Linked DNA regions of Rhinolophus ferrumequinum. The main gene of each other region encodes a partner of the protein of the gene in region 2 in a complex. Links are inferred from orthologs where the notes say so. Each region holds a gene or a part of one and is shown on either strand. Other genes may lie near its edges. The genes, in order: IL22 and IL22RA2.

Region 1 (7,947 bases), on a different chromosome or scaffold from region 2:
TCACCCAGGGCCACATGCGGTAAAATACACACACAGCCGGGCCACTCACTCGAGGTGAAGTACGGATTGCCTCACCTGGTTTATTTAAGTAAACTAAATACATTTTTGGAATTTGCTGCGGGCCAATTGTACATGGTTTGCGGGCCGCAGTTGGCCCGCGGGCCGCAGTTTGGACACCCCTATCTAAAGCCTTCATGTTTCTGAGGTTTACTTGTTCCTATCTGCAAGGGCATCACTTTCGCTGCTAATAATCATTCCTCTGCATTTGGGATGAGTCACAATTGCTAGTCTGAACCTTCTATTGTTGTTTTTTTGCCCCAAATAGGCCACATGCCAGTATCATTCACTGTGGAAATACACACTATCCTACACCAGATAGATGTTCATTAGGGATTTACTGAGATAGGGAGAAGACTAGAAAGGAAGGAGGAGAGAGAGGGGAAGAAAAGATTTCCAGTTTGGACTTCCATTTCACTATACTAAATCCATTGTTAATGTTTTCATTCTATTTGAAACTGCATAAAGGAAATTGGGGGTTCTTCAGTCTTCCTTCTTTAAATTAAAATCAATAGCTTTGGGATATTATATTATGATAATTAACTATAAGTATCAATCATTCCAGAAATTCATCCTATATGCAAATCCAGCTCTTTTGTTATGGTTGTTCTGGGTTTATTTCTCCAAGTTTTAAATCATCAAATTAATGGCTTCAAAAATCACTTCAAATAAATTTGCCCCCAGGCCCTTTTCTGGTTTTGAACAAGTGCATCTTCAGATTACATGAATCAGTAGGAATCTTAAATTTCCCTAAGAAATACTAAAAGTAATACATATTGCTGTTGGAAGAGTGCTGACGTGGATGCATTCTAGCCCTGGGACTGCCACTGGCTATCCCCAGAACATGGGGTGATGAGATTAGATGGCCTAACCCCAGCCAGTTCTAGAATTCTATGATTCTCAAAATTTGGAAATTTATTTATAAATATATCGACACATCTATCTACATATGCACATAAATTGTCAACCCAATGGTAGGAGAGTAACGTGTCACAACTTGAGGCAGGAAAGAAATGAAAGAAAAAGAAAACATTTTTCTATCCTATTCAATGACTTAGCATAAACAGTTATCAGTAATACCGTTTTCACTGTGTCCTTCAGATGTTGCACATTTCTGTGGATACGCTGCTCACCATTTTCGATATGCTACAAAATGAAAAACAGAACATTTGTTTCAACATTGCCGTACCGATGCTCTATGAACCTCAGTGTCCCTAACTGAGGTATGTCACCTTTCACATGAAATTAAAGTTCTTAGCATTTTTGCCTGCAATGACCTAGATTTCACCAGTGACCTAGATTTTCTGAGCTCTTGAATTCCCTTGGACACCAAAATCCAGTCATTTCTTTTACATGGGACCCCTCTTCACCTTTGGGAACTCCTACTGAGGTTTAAGTTTGTGGAAAGAGTGGAGTGGTTTATGCAAATTCTGTCAAGATTAAAGCCCTAAATGTACCTCACCAAATATGCATGCTCAGAATAAGAAATATACATAAAATGTCTTGTATGAACAATAGGCCTTACTCAATAAATACTAAGTCCCCTTTGCTCTGCCCACTTCACTCAAAACTTTTCTCATAGTTTTAAATGTTCAGAGGCGTAGAGTTCACACACCTTTGATTTTGTCACTTCCTATGACATCAAAAAGGCAGGAGTCTTTGCCCACCCACCACAGACCATTAAAATTTCCCATTTCCCTTTTTCTCTCTTTCCCATCCCCTCCCTTTATCAACTTATACTTGGCAGACCCATTTCCAACTCTAGACATTCTTTCTTAAATCTCCCAACACCTTTTTCATCTACATAACCTGAGTTACTTTTTCCCAAGGACAAATGAGCTTTCTATGCACTTGCCTTTCAGATCCCATCTATCACAATAAACTCAAAATGTGATGGAATCAAAACAAAAACAAATATTCTCTGATTCCAAATGACTCCTATAATGGTGGTGTTGCTGAGGCTCCTCTGACTGCCAGCATGGGAGGGGGCAAGGACTGTTGGAGGCGGAAAGGGCTCTAAATGGAAGAAGGGAGGCAGGCAGGCAGGTAACTAGGTGATCTTAGGCTGGGAGAAGAACTTACACATTGGCTTAGCTTGTTGTTGAGCTTCACCAGGAAGGACACCACCTCCTGCATATAGGGCTGGAATCTATCGGACTGGGGAAGCAGCGCTTCTTCAATGGTAAAGTTCAGCACCTGCTTCATAACATAGCAGCGCTCGCTCATCTGCAAGCAAAAGTGAAGAAGAGGTTGTATTACAGGGCAGTCAGAAGACCCAAACCATCATCACCATCGTTCCAAATAACCACGGCTGACATAGTGCCTTACTCATCACTACTTGACTTACCTTGACTCCGCGGAACAGTTTCTCCATAGATATGAGACGAACATCTGTGTTGTTATCTGCCATACTAGCCTGGAAGAAAAGAAAAGACTAAATGCTCGGACTTCAAGAAAATAGGAAAAAAGCCTGTAAATAGAGATGTACCTTATCCCATCTCCCTAGAGCAGCCCCGTGAAGACTAAAGAAAGAACTTAGATGTATGTCTGAGTTTAAAATAACGTACAGAGGAGTAAAGGGAAAAATCGATAGCCAGATGGGCTGCTAAATGGCTCCTTTTGGGGTAAACCTCAATGTACGTATTTTAAAGGCCAAAATGGTAGGTCTTCTGGTAAAGCCCAATCTCCAAAGAGTCTTTGAAGAGACGAAGAAAATGATCTTTGGTCTGCCAGTAGAGATACCCAATGGGTTCTTTAAATCTTAAATTTACTCTGAAGAAAATTTTAAGAACTATTCGGGTTCCAAGTAGATAAGATGCAAAAGAGAGAGAGATTGAGATGAGTACCTCCTCAGCCAGCCTGAAGGTATAGTTGGTGATATAAGGCTGCTGGAAGTCAGACTTGTCAAGCCTGCAGTGAGACCTAAGAGGCACAGCTGCTCCTTCCTGCACCGACAGAGCAACGAGAAGACAACTGGCAGCCAGAATCCCCATAAGGGAAAAGCTCACAGATTTCTGCGGGGTGGCCATTGCAGACGACTCTAACTCAAGCAACTGGTGGGCAGGGAAGAAACACCTGGTATCAAGAGAATAAGAACAAAAAGGGAAAGAAAATTAAGTATCATGAAATATCACACCAAACAAACCAATCATGGTGAGTTTGCTGAAACACTTACCTGTTTCGATGATTGTGCTTGTGATGAGAAGGTAGAAACTGCTGCTTTTATAGCCCCCAGGACATCAATTTTTTTTTTAAATTGTGAAAACTATGACATCAGCAATTATCTAATTTCCAGTACTGTCTTCTGAGAACTACCTAACCACCATAGGAGCCCACAAAACGCCACCTCCTATCCTTCCCACCTTGATATGTAAGTATTTCCCTAAAACGTCACTATTCGGGCCCAGAGGGTGTTTTTACAGATAAATCCTAGAAATTTTCTAAACCCTACATATTTTTCAAAGAAAACAATTACTCTGTCTTCCTATATTTCAGATCTAGTATGATATTTTTTGATCTCCTATAGTAACTGAGTAAGCATTTTGGTCAAGGACTCATTTTTCTCCGTGCTTCATAGATTCTTATCTCCTTAGAGGTGACCAGAAATAAGGATCTGTGTCCTATATCCTCTGCTTTAAAATAAATAGTAATGATAGCTTGAAGATAATTCCACTTTTAAAAATAATTTTATCTCATTTTCTTAATATGCTGAATCCTAAACAAGTTACATTTTAAAAATCACAGTGTTGGCTAATCTAAACACGGTTTTCCTCCCATTCTGTGACTTTTTAAACGTGATCGTAACAATTATGGTAGGTACAAATATACCTTAAAATTTTTTTCATTGAATTATAATCAATATCAATTGAAGTTTGGAAATATTCATGTAAAATAATCTGGTCACTATTTTTCTTAACATGCAAGTATGTAAAGAATACAGTGATATAGTAGTTCATCTTGATATTTTCACCTGCACTTATTCTAAACAACACACAGTCTCAAATGATATTTCCAAAAATCTTGTAATAATCTTTAGTATATATGTGAATGTCTGAAGAAGATAATCTGGCTAGATAGTGGTTATATGTTGACTTTAAATTATTAAAAACACATTGAGTTCTAAATAACACCTAAAATCTAGACTGGAAACCCTTCCAAGGGGTGTGAGCAGGGAGCAAATGCATTGATCTATTGCTAGAAGAAGGAATGTGAATTCGTGCAAATTAGTTCAATCAAATTTTTCTTCTTACAACTAAAAACCAGGAGTGTTGATGAACGGGAAGAAGGAAAGTGAATAATTATAGAATTTTGAGCATTTTATTCTTGAGATGGCACAGACCTAGGTAAGAAGTTACAGTACAGGGTGGGAATAGCATGAAGACACTGAGCATTGGGGAAGAAGGACTTCGGAGAATGATGCAAAAAGGAGGGGTAGGGAAGAGTAAATATTAACCAGGGCTCTTCCAAACATTTGCTTGGGAAGGTTCATGAGCCCAAGATGAGGAAACTCTTCTTTATCCAATTTCTTATAATGTAAGATATGGCCATTTTTATCCAGAACTCTCTAATGTTTTATCAGCACTAGAGTTTAACTCCACTGTGGATTAAATAGGCTTTGGTTGGTTTGCCTGGCAACCTGACAAACATATATAATCTCGTTCCCATGGGAAAATTAGTTTGGACGTCATTGAATTGAGGGGAAAATCTCTGTCTCTTCCATATTTGTATCTCCAACACTTAGAACAGTACTGCACACACAAGAAGGACTCAATAGGAACATATTGCATGAACAGATAAACAGATCTGTGACATTAAAGAATTTACTAAATATCTTTAGGAACATGCATGGAGGTAATTTGGGGACTGCCTTTATAGTACCTCTAAAGCTGGGATTTGACCCAGTACTACTTGCCGGCTTCATTATTGTTCCTGAATAGGGAATAAATAGTTGTGAAACAAAAATATACTCCCAGAAAATTGCAAACTAGTCTTTAATAGCAGCGACATGACTATTATTCATTTTATGGTCCTGATGAACAACAATTCATAAGATACTGTTAATGGAGCTAAGATCTTATGTTTTAGTGAGCTTGACCAAAACCCACTAAAGTGAAAATCTGCTCTGGGGCTGTGTAAGGATTTCTGAACAGTCATACAGGAAGTCTCAAAAATAGTTGCTATTAGAAGAGATTATGGCTAGAACATAAAACTGTTCCTGTGGAAAAAAATAACTGAAGACATTGTATGTGTGCAAAGTAATTTCAGATCACAGTGGGCCTTCTCTTCAGTTGTTTCCTTATGAAGTTTCAATTATCTCCCAGAAGCAACCCCAGATAAAGGGAACCCCAGTGTCATGCTCCCAGGCCCCAGACAGACTGTACCCATGGTTGATCTTGCGTATATGCAACAATTTACCTGTCTAGGGCCAGGAAGGGCTAACCAGATTCGCCAACCATAAGGTAGGCTATTCTGTCTTGTTAACTATACTAGCCCTAGCACGCAGAACAGTGCCTGGCACACAGCAGATAATAAATAAATACTCACGGACTGCATGATAAAACCACTTCCCAGCTCATTGGATGGTGCTTGGAAATCCACAATGCATTCTTTTAAAGTACACATCTCTCCAGGAGAAGTGGGACTTTAAGTTACTCAGGTAAAAAGTATTATATTCATGATATTCCTCATACAACACTCATGATCATTATTTCATACAAGGTTCTCTCTCTCTCTCTCTCTCTCTCTCTCTCTCTCTCTCTCTCTCTGTGTGATCCCACCCTCATTGTTCTCCTTCCCTCCACACCAAACACCCACCACCACCTCTGTGCCAGTCATAGACATCTGCTGTAATGTATTTGATATACATTTCTGAATATATATGCATCCTCACAAAACATAAAATATTGTTTAGTGCAGGTAGGTATTTTTATTTTGTCTGAATGTTTCTCTGTCTTAATCTTTCACTTAGCGCTACGGTCTTACACTCTACCTGTGTTGCTGTGTGTAGCTCCTTTTGCTAACATGCCATTTCTATTGTGTATCCACATTTTACTTACTCATTTCTCCTTTAATGATCACCTACATCACCCCCAATTGCCCACGCTACAGACGTTGCATCACTAAGCAACCTCTTCCAAGACATTTTAATGACATTTTTGAGAATATCTTTGGAATAGTTACCCAGAAGTAGCTCCCACTGGGTCACAGGGATAAGTTCATTTGCTTTTACTAGATATGGCCAGATTGCTCTCTTGAAAAGCAGCATCCACCTACTCTCTCAGATCAATGAAGAAAGGTTCCAGTTTTCTTACATCCCCACCCATACTTGCTACTTTCCAGCTTTAATTTTGCCAGCTTTTGGGGATTTAACATATTATCTCATTATTGTTTTAATCTGCATTTTTCTTCACACATTTGTAGCCACTTGGGTTGCCCTCTTTTATGAATTGATTGTTTACATCAGTTGCCCACTGTTATTGTGGGCTTTTGTCTGTTGTTGTTGTTAATTTGGAAGAGTACCCTGCATATTTTAAATATTACTGTCTTTGGGGTTGTAGACATAACAAACTCTTCTCTCAATTTGTGTTCTATGAACTTTGTCTATTTGTCCTTTGTTGAACAGAAAACTTAATTTGGGTGTCATTTAAGACATTTTTCATTATGTGGCTTGAACTTTTCAAGGCTTTGTTTAAAAAGTCTCTCTCTATCCTTAGGTACCAAAGATATTCTTCTAGCTTTTCTTCTATTTATTCTATGGTTTTGCCTTTCACGATCAAGTCTTTAATGCCTTTTTGTACATGATGGAAAGTAGGAAGCCAGTTTCATTTTCTCCACAAAGTGAGCCAGTTTTTCCAATACAGTTCACTAAACAGTCCTTTATCATATGTTTCATATGTGAATTTCCCATATATAAATAGCTATCTCTGAGCTCTCTACTTTGTTGCACTGATTTTTTTTTCTTATTGTTCTTGAGCCAGTTCCATAATATTTTTGTTAATGAAGAGTGTCTTTATATCTGGACAGGAAAGTCTACCCTCTTTGCTTTACTTTTTTCAGGGCTGATTTAGCTATTCTTCATTTTTCATATATATTTTTCATACATTTGTAATAAACTTGTCAAGTGTCTGGGGAAAAGGCAGCAGAAACTTTCATTTGGCTATTGTTTAATTTAAAGATTAATTTAAGGGGAATTAACATCTTTATAATATGAACTCCTTCCACCCAAGAGCATTTACCATCATCTCTTTACTGCTTAGGATCTTTTTTTATACCCTTGATAATGTTTCTAAATTTTCTCCACTGAAGTCTTGTGTACTATTTTTAATTCCTAGTTACTTTACAGAAGGAAAGTCTTATTCTGTTCGTTATCACTTTCACCTTGGTGTGAATGACTACCACGTTGACTTGGAGAAAGAAACTATTCGGACGCTCATCTCTGAGAAAATGAAGCTTTTTTTGTTTGTTTTTAAGGTCAGTACAGAGGAGAGATAGAGGTACCCTGCAAAAAACAAAGCTAGAGACTGGGGGTCCCAAGCATGAACTTTATTTATTTCCCAGTTATGTTTGAAGAGAACCCTAACAGTCCCCGGGACAACTTCCTACCATAGCAACCTCACCCTGCTCACACCTTGCCCACAAAGATACTTGTCAACCATAGCCACCTTTCTCTTTTTTCCTGAGGACCACAACTTGTGAATCTGTACTGTAGCTCATCTTAAAGGGAGGACTATGCCATGGGAATGTGTCATAATATAAATGACTATATTTTCCTTTCTAGTAATACCAAGTACTGAAATCAATTTAAACGAGAAAAAGAAAGCAACCTTTATGCAAATTCCTCACTACTCTAGTGCATATCAGCAGAATTTGACATTGGCTTCCTGAAGTCTG
Region 2 (7,553 bases):
CGCCTGAATGGCTGCACTTACCTGCCTGCATTGGGGCTTCAAATACTCAAGCCTGTTGCTTCAGATAAACTGGTCCATGCTATCGAGAGAGACTGTCCAAGACTGCCATGGGGCCTAGTGTTCCTGAGAAGGGTCTCGACAGCAGTCATGGAATGAAAAGGGATAATTTTGCACTGGCATGGCTTGTGCTTTTTTCCTCAGATCATGTGACATAGGTGGTACAACCCCACTTGCATTTAGTCCCATGGAGGGAAGAGACCTTTGACAAAATTTTATTCTATGTTTGAAGTAAAAATATGTCACCCCAAAATACGCCTCTTTGACATAAAAATTATTTTGAGCTGAAGACAATTAAGCAGAAAAAGCTCTTTCTATCTTCCCCAGTTTACTGTCTAAAGGCAGGATATAAATTCTCCTTTTTCTGGAGACGGACTCTTTTCAGCCCAGAGACAGCACCAGAAAAATCTGCAAACAAGCCTTACTCCATTAGTTTCTTCTCATATACAGAGGGTGCCCCCCAAAAATCTATACACATTTTAAGAAAGAAAAAAAAACACTATTAAAATTATGCTGATGGTAACCACTTTGAGCACCTCTTGTAATTGCAGAAGTCAAACGTGACTTGTATTCATTTTTTATTATCAGTATATATTGAGCATTACAATTTTAATACAGTTTTTTTCCTTTCTTAAAATGTGTATACGTTTTTTTGGCATCCTCTGTATTTACTTTTCCAGAGTGTGCCACCCTCGGAAGCCTAAAATTGCTTTCATTTGTCCTGTTATGTCTCGACCAATGTATTGGTGTTTGTTGGAGGTGCTACATACTCATCAGTGGGATTCTAACCTGCCATTTTGAGTGACTCTTCATTTAGATTTTCCCCGGTGATGTGCGCTGCATGCATTCCCAAACTGTTTTTCTTTTGTTAATCTTTTTTTTTTTTTTTTGTTAAAGAGTCCCAGCTGAAAACCTAAGGTGGGCACAGGTAAAGCTTTGCATCCCCTGTGGCTCCAAAGTTTCTGATCAGGGGTAGGAAGCTGGGCAGGAGAAGTCAGGAAGCATATCTCTGTCTTTTCCCTGACCTCATTTTCTTTCTCGTGCTTCTATGTGAGGGTGTGCAAACTAGCCCTTCCCTTTTCCTGGAATACTTTTCCCTGGATTTCTACATACCTCACGTCTTTGCTCAAATATCATTGAGATGGAAGCAAATATTCCTAAATCAACGATTTCCGCTCTGAACATTCAAGATTTGTCATTTTCTAATGAATGGGGCTGTTTCTTTAGGTGTTTATTTTTACCAATCAAATAGTATTAATACTGTTATTTGTTTGTTTTTATTTTTATTTTCTGGACCTCCTTCAGTGCATCAAATGGTGGTGTGTATTTGGGAAGAGTCTACTGCCACTCTTGATTTTGCTCACCAAAACCACTACCTAACCACTCATATTTAGTACATAAGAATTCCAGAGTTTTTTGGGAGATGACAAGCACAATTTCCTAAAGCCCCTGCCAGAGTTGACTTGCTGCTGTGCAGACAGATGGCTCAGTGCCCTTTTTCTCCTCTGTCTATGGATTTCTTCTTTCGTTTTTGTAACACCACCACTGCTACCACCATCAAAGATAATAGCAAATCACTCAGTACCAGACACTGCGGGTCTTTTACCTGCATTGATTCATTGAATCTGTCCAGCTCGTCTATGAAAAAGGTACTATTGCATTCTTCCTCTTACAGACTGAAAAACTAAGTCTTGAAGAGCTGAAGGCACTTGCACAGCAGCAAATAGTGATGCTGATTTTGTACCTGGGAATTCTGATTCCGGAGCCTGCCTGTCACCTACTACAGAAAACCAAGGGCAAAGCCTCAGGAGAGAGGAGCTAATGGAGGAAGCAAAACAACTAGAGGCTGAAGATATTCTTCCTTTTCCTCCTTGTTTCCCTCCTCCTCCTGGCTGGCGTTCACGGAACATTGAACATAGATGAGCAATAGACATATATCATGAATGGTGCTCAAAGCTTTACATCTTATTTCTTTTCCACTGCCACTAAATATGGTGGGTATTCTTATTCTTATAGTTTACAATAGGAAAGCTGAGACTTAAAGAAGTTGTGTATCTTGCCCAAGGTTATCGGCCCGGTAAGAAGTAGGGCCAGGATCATTTTGGTAGCATGAGAATTCCTGCTGTATTTTGCTAATTGAGTCCTTGGTGTTACCAAAGGCATAGTCTACACAAATCCACACATTTCTGGGAGATGGAGGCTTGAATTGTTTTTATGTTATCACTCACGGGGCAACTGTACAGTCCTGGGAAAGTTACTTTAGCCCCTCACATGGAGGTATGTTGGGGTGATAAAATGTTCTCTGCTTTTGAAGAGTTCTCCGTGAATACCAAGAGCAAATTCTCCCATGTTATTTACGGCCTCTAAGTGGTTAGGCATTGCTCTAACCACTTGGCATATATTAATTCATTTAATCCTCATAATACATGCAATTCCCATTCTACAGATGAGGAAATGGAGACACAGGGGGTTAAGTCAATTGCCCAAGTTTTCCCAAAGAGCAAAGAACAAAACTGAAATCCAGACCCAGTCTGACTTAGGAGACTGATTTTACCCACTGTGCTATCATGTCCCCTGAAGGCAAAAAAAAAAAAAAAAAAAAAAAAAAAAAGAAAAATAATGCCAAGGAGACGGAGATGTACATTTGTCCTGTATGAAGTTTTCTGCTCCCACTAGAGAGCCTCCTCTTTAGTAGCTACTCAGTAAGTCCACGTGGAGTTATTCAGGCTGAAGATAGAAACCGACCCCATGTCTGTGCTGATAATTTCATGACAGGAGAAAGCTGAAATTTTTCCAAGTCTCACAAAGTGCCAGTGCCGTTTCTAACAGTCCCTTGAACACACTCAGATGATGAAAGTGTGAGCAATTAAAAAAAAATGAAGCACTTACCTACTACACCAGCCAGGGAGACACTGATGAGGAAGCCTAGAAAGCAGTGTTCACGCGTCATGGTTGCGCGTGTGACTGGTCAGACAGCCAGCGTTCCCCTCAGTGAGAGCACAGATCTGGACAAAAGAGGAAACTCACATTTTCACTTTGAGCATCCCTCTTGGTTACCAATAGTTCCTTGAAGCAAATACAATTTAACTTAATATCTTTCATTATTTTAGGGAGACTATGAAAGTAGAAGAATTGCTTCAAGAAATATTTACTGTAAGTGACTTTGATGTGGAAGCTCGATTTTATTGGGACCGGGGTTTTCTTAGTGGTGAAAGGCAAAACACTGAGGATTGGCAAACTAGAGGCAGGATGGGGCAGGAATTATGCTCCTACATGAGCGAATGGAGCACGCGAGATCTTGAGATCTTCAGGTAATCTCCCTGGAGGCAGAGATGGCTGCCAGCCAGCAGGACTTGGCTGACGGGACAATTTTGAGCACTGTGTTTGGCAGTTGCAACAGTCAAGGCCCCTGACAGTGATTCAAAGTAGGTGGGTCTCTGATTAATTCTTATTTTTCTCTCTTCTTGGAAGCTTCCTGACTAACCTCCCTGACACACCTAATACTCTCCACATCCTCTGGCTCTCCACAGGGCTCCCTGCCATACTTATCTGTCTTCCCAATCCATGGTGGCCCTAAGCCCTACTCAGCTAATGCCTCTTCTTTTTCCATTTCCACCTCAGTTCCCAGCAACCTGATGAAGGTTTTGAGTGCATCAAACCACGTGAGTCCTTAAAAGGTTGTGGAGAAGTGAGTCCTTAAAAGGATGAATGTGGAGAAATCATTCTTCGATGTGGAAAAGAGCTAAAACATTAGATCTTTTTCGTATCTTCTTGGAAATCGGATCAAACTAGGTCATCTGTTGTTTGCCCCTGATTCATTACATCATCTTTCTTACCAAAAAAATTTACCACGTGTTTTTAGAGGCACTAGAATTATACCTTAAAGCACAAGAAAGTCGTAAAGATTCTTTTTAAAAGAGGCTCATTAGCTCAAAAGAGGAAATATATTCTGACTTCTTTTCCCTCCTATGTAGTCTCTTTCAAGTTCTTGGTAGAATGGCCTCTGTAAGGAATAACGATGGTTACTGAGCAGTGCTCATTCATCCGTTTAGGCGATCATATTTAACAAGTGCTGCAGTACCATGTGCTAAGCATTGCTCTCAGCAGCAAGGACACAGCAGCAAGCAAGGTAGGCATTGCCCCTGTCTTCCCAAAGCCTACTGCTAAACGGGAAAGTAGACATACTGCCAGAGCAGTATGGAGGGACTCATCAAAACCAGGTTTTCCATTGCCTCCATGCTACTGTCAGACTTCTGAATTCGGACTTTATCTCCTCCAAGTAAAGTGTTCATTGCTTATACACTAAAGTAGGTTTTCAGAGAAGAAACTTGCAGTAGATCTTAAGTTCCCTTTGCACCATGTTGATGCGCTTTGTCTTCTAGCCTTTTCAGCATCATCCTTCACTTACTCGCTGATATTGCCCACTGAACTCTGGACATGGCATTCACCTTGGTTTTTAAAGGAGAAGTGATAATCTGGGTTTTCACTATTGATGTTCAATATCTTCAACACCAATAGCTCTTGTGTGAAGCAATCAAGTTGCTCCAAATTCCAGTTAAGAATAAAAAGAAAAATATTTTAATTCAAGGTTTAATAAGTAGAGCAGCAGAGAATGAAATCGAGGTTTTTCACTGAGTTACTGACTTTGTAGAACAAAGTTAGAGGAAATTAGGGGGAAAGGGAGAAGAGCATAGAATATACCGAGAAATGAGTTCTCGCAAAGATGTGTAAGTTTTTGTGCTATGTGAAATTTCAGAAACTAAGCCAGTGTTGTTACCATTCAGTGAGCTCATTAATTGTGTGATATAATCTGTACTAGAAGCCAACACTGCCAACAGTGCCTCAAGGGAGATGAAAAGATAAAACTAAATTCTGAAATCCCACTAATTTGGAGGCAGAGGAATTTGTATAGAATTGTTTCAAATAAAATGTCATTTGCTTTGGAAAGTAAGAAGATTAAAGAAAATGGGGAAACCCCTGCTCTACTTTGCTTCAGCAATGAAATTCTGGCTTCAAGTTCATTCCCTCCCTTCCCCTCTATCCCACCCCGCTCAAACCTCAGCAGGAAGGGTCCACCTTGACAGTAAGAGTGGATGCTTCCATTGTGTTTTGTCTGGAGAAAATTTGACTAAACTCCGGCCTTGATTCTCTTCTTTTCTCTTTGTGGCTTCCAAGAGGCCAATAATTCATCTTATTAATGAATCATTACTTGTTTTTAAGTGTGTCATTGGATTTTGGTTATTACTTTTTTTATTTTTTAGAGCTATATATTGACATATTACAGATGACATAACACGATGTCTCGTATTTTCTTTGAAATAATCCAAGGGGCTGGGGAAGGGGGCCATGAGCTGATAATTGTTGGAACTGGTTATTGAGTACATGGAGGTTCTTTATGCTGTCTGCTTTTGTATATATACTTGAAATTTTTCATAACAAAAGAAAAACATTTTTAAAGTTTATAAAGATGCCATCTTTATAAAACTCCTTTTGGTAACTTTAATGCTACTTCAGTACCAATGGTAAGATCTAATAATTGTGGGGCACTGGGTTAATTTCTTTCCATGCCGTCTCTTGGTTAAACCTCACAACAAGCTCAGGATTGGTATTATTATCCTGATATAACAGATAAAGAAACTGAGACAGAGAGAGGCCAAGACAAACTGACCAGGCTCTACAGTGCATGTAGTGACTAAGTCAGGAGTAAAATCAGGTCGGGCTGATCTCAGGGCCTGAGGTCTACTATAAAATCACCATGCATTGTTCTTCATTTGTAATATTCCCTCCATAAATGGATAAAATGATGTCAAAGAAGATTCTGCTGTTCGTTCCTTTCATTGTTTATTCATCAATCAATTCTTTTTATTAAATTTATTGGGGTGACATTGGTTAATAAAATTATATAGGTTTCAAATGTACAATTCTATAATACATCGTCTATATATTGCACTGTGTGTTCACCACGCAGAGTCAGTTCTCCTTTCATCACCATATATTTGACCTCGTTTACCCTCTTCTACAATCGCCTTCCTCCCTTACCTTCTGGTAACCACTAAACTGTTGTCTGTGTCTATGAGTTTTTGTTTGTCTTGTTTATTTATTGCTTTCAGTTTTATATTCCACATATGTCTCTCAAACAAATCTACTGAGCATGTGCTGTATGCCAGGTACCATGCTAGGCAAGCAGTAGTAAACAAGATGGCAGAGCCAGTGCTCCTGGAGCGAGATCACGTCCTTCAGCTAGGTCTTGTAGTGAAGGGCCACATGTTCCTTATTCTCCTTTAGAAAAGTGTTTAAAAACTGGTGTCCTGGACTACTTCCTTGGGATCAGATGGCCTAGGTTTCTGCTCTAGGCCCTTTCCCTTATTCTATAACTTGGTAAGCAACAGGATAACTTTTTAAAGTTTCACAATGAATGATAGCTTGAACACCACCGTTCTCTCCTTCAGACCTTTGGAGAACCATATACCTGTAGCACCAAAAACTGGGAAACTATTTGTTCTTTTTGTGTCTGCTGGTCCCTCAATAATTCTGCTGAGTAATACCTATGACCTTTAAGCAGTTCTGCATTCTGGAAATAATTGTCATGCATTTCAAAATAGTTGATGAACTTGAATTTTAAAAAGGAACTTCTTTGTCAAATATAGGCAATAAATACAATGAGCAATCTGATCAAGTTTAATTTTGATTAATTTTTAGACTATGAACACTAACACATTATTTTAAAATCTCCATTCATGGGACTTACGGTTTCATGAATAACTTTCTCTGCTCTTCACTCATATTATTCTGATTAAAAGATGCTATAAATATTGCTTTGATTGTCCTTGACCAAGGTCTTTCACTGACCTTGAAAACCCTGCTGGATATGATTAATCATTGTGCCCATGAATTAGCATATGCCTGTACGTTGTTTCCACTCTAGAAAGATTTTCATGGCATAAGCAGAATCCAACCAGCTGTCACCCCCTCAACTGCAACTACTTAGGTCCCCGCTACCATCATTTTTTGCCTGGTTTGTAGCCATAGCTTCCTTTCCATTCTCCCTGCCTCTGCCACTGTCCTCTGCATTAGGCAAAGTGTTCCTTTTAAATGACAGATCAGAGCCTTTGCTTAGAACCCTCCAGTGTCTTCCCATTTCTCTCAGAATGAAAGTCAAACGTTTTACAGTCACGTACGAGGCCCAGTAATCTGGCCCCATTAATGCTAAAATCATCTCCCACAACTCTCCTTCTAACCCTCAGGTCTCTAGCTTGGAAGGTCTTTTTGCTATTTCTCAAACATGACAGGCACATCCCCACACTATGAACTTTTACTAGTTGTCTCCTCTGCTTGACTGTTTTTCCTGAGATGTCCAGGCTTACTCCCTCACCTCCTTCATGTCTCAGCTCAGAAATTATCAGGGAATTCCTCCATGACCACACAACATGGCAGCGCTTCTCCCTACCAGCTGTCCCCATCCTTTCATCTGCTTAATATTTCTCCATAACACTTCT

What was found.
Region 1: the proteins of IL22RA2 (region 2) and IL22 are in contact, whole or in part, in a crystal structure (PDB 3G9V), measured with the Homo sapiens proteins. The link is inferred for Rhinolophus ferrumequinum from reciprocal best matches to the Homo sapiens genes IL22RA2 and IL22. Residues at the interface, in NP_443194.1 of Homo sapiens: Lys65, Ile66, Tyr99, Gly100, Gln101, Arg102, Trp104, Gln128, Glu129, Pro130, Tyr132, Met148, Pro150, Arg151, Thr153, Trp155, Trp156, Glu157, Glu200, Pro246, Met247, Leu248, Asp249, Arg250; in NP_065386.1 of Homo sapiens: Phe47, Gln48, Pro50, Thr53, Asn54, Phe57, Met58, Lys61, Ser64, Leu65, Asp67, Asn69, Thr70, Asp71, Val72, Arg73, Leu74, Lys162, Gly165, Glu166, Asp168, Leu169, Met172, Arg175, Asn176.

Annotation. Positions count from the first base shown.
Region 1 is NC_046293.1:64,568,290-64,576,236, forward strand, and holds the start of IL22 (interleukin-22), read right to left. Parts: upstream 3,087-7,947; coding exon 2,904-3,086; intron 2,474-2,903; coding exon 2,405-2,473; intron 2,284-2,404; coding exon 2,140-2,283; intron 1,204-2,139; coding exon 1,138-1,203; intron 1-1,137. UniProt on the Homo sapiens protein: Cytokine that plays a critical role in modulating tissue responses during inflammation. Plays an essential role in the regeneration of epithelial cells to maintain barrier function after injury and for the prevention of further tissue damage.
Region 2 is NC_046286.1:83,244,945-83,252,497, forward strand, and holds the start of IL22RA2 (interleukin-22 receptor subunit alpha-2), read right to left. Parts: upstream 3,160-7,553; 5' UTR 3,008-3,159; coding exon 2,947-3,007; intron 1-2,946. UniProt on the Homo sapiens protein: Isoform 2 is a receptor for IL22. Binds to IL22, prevents interaction with the functional IL-22R complex and blocks the activity of IL22 (in vitro). May play an important role as an IL22 antagonist in the regulation of inflammatory responses.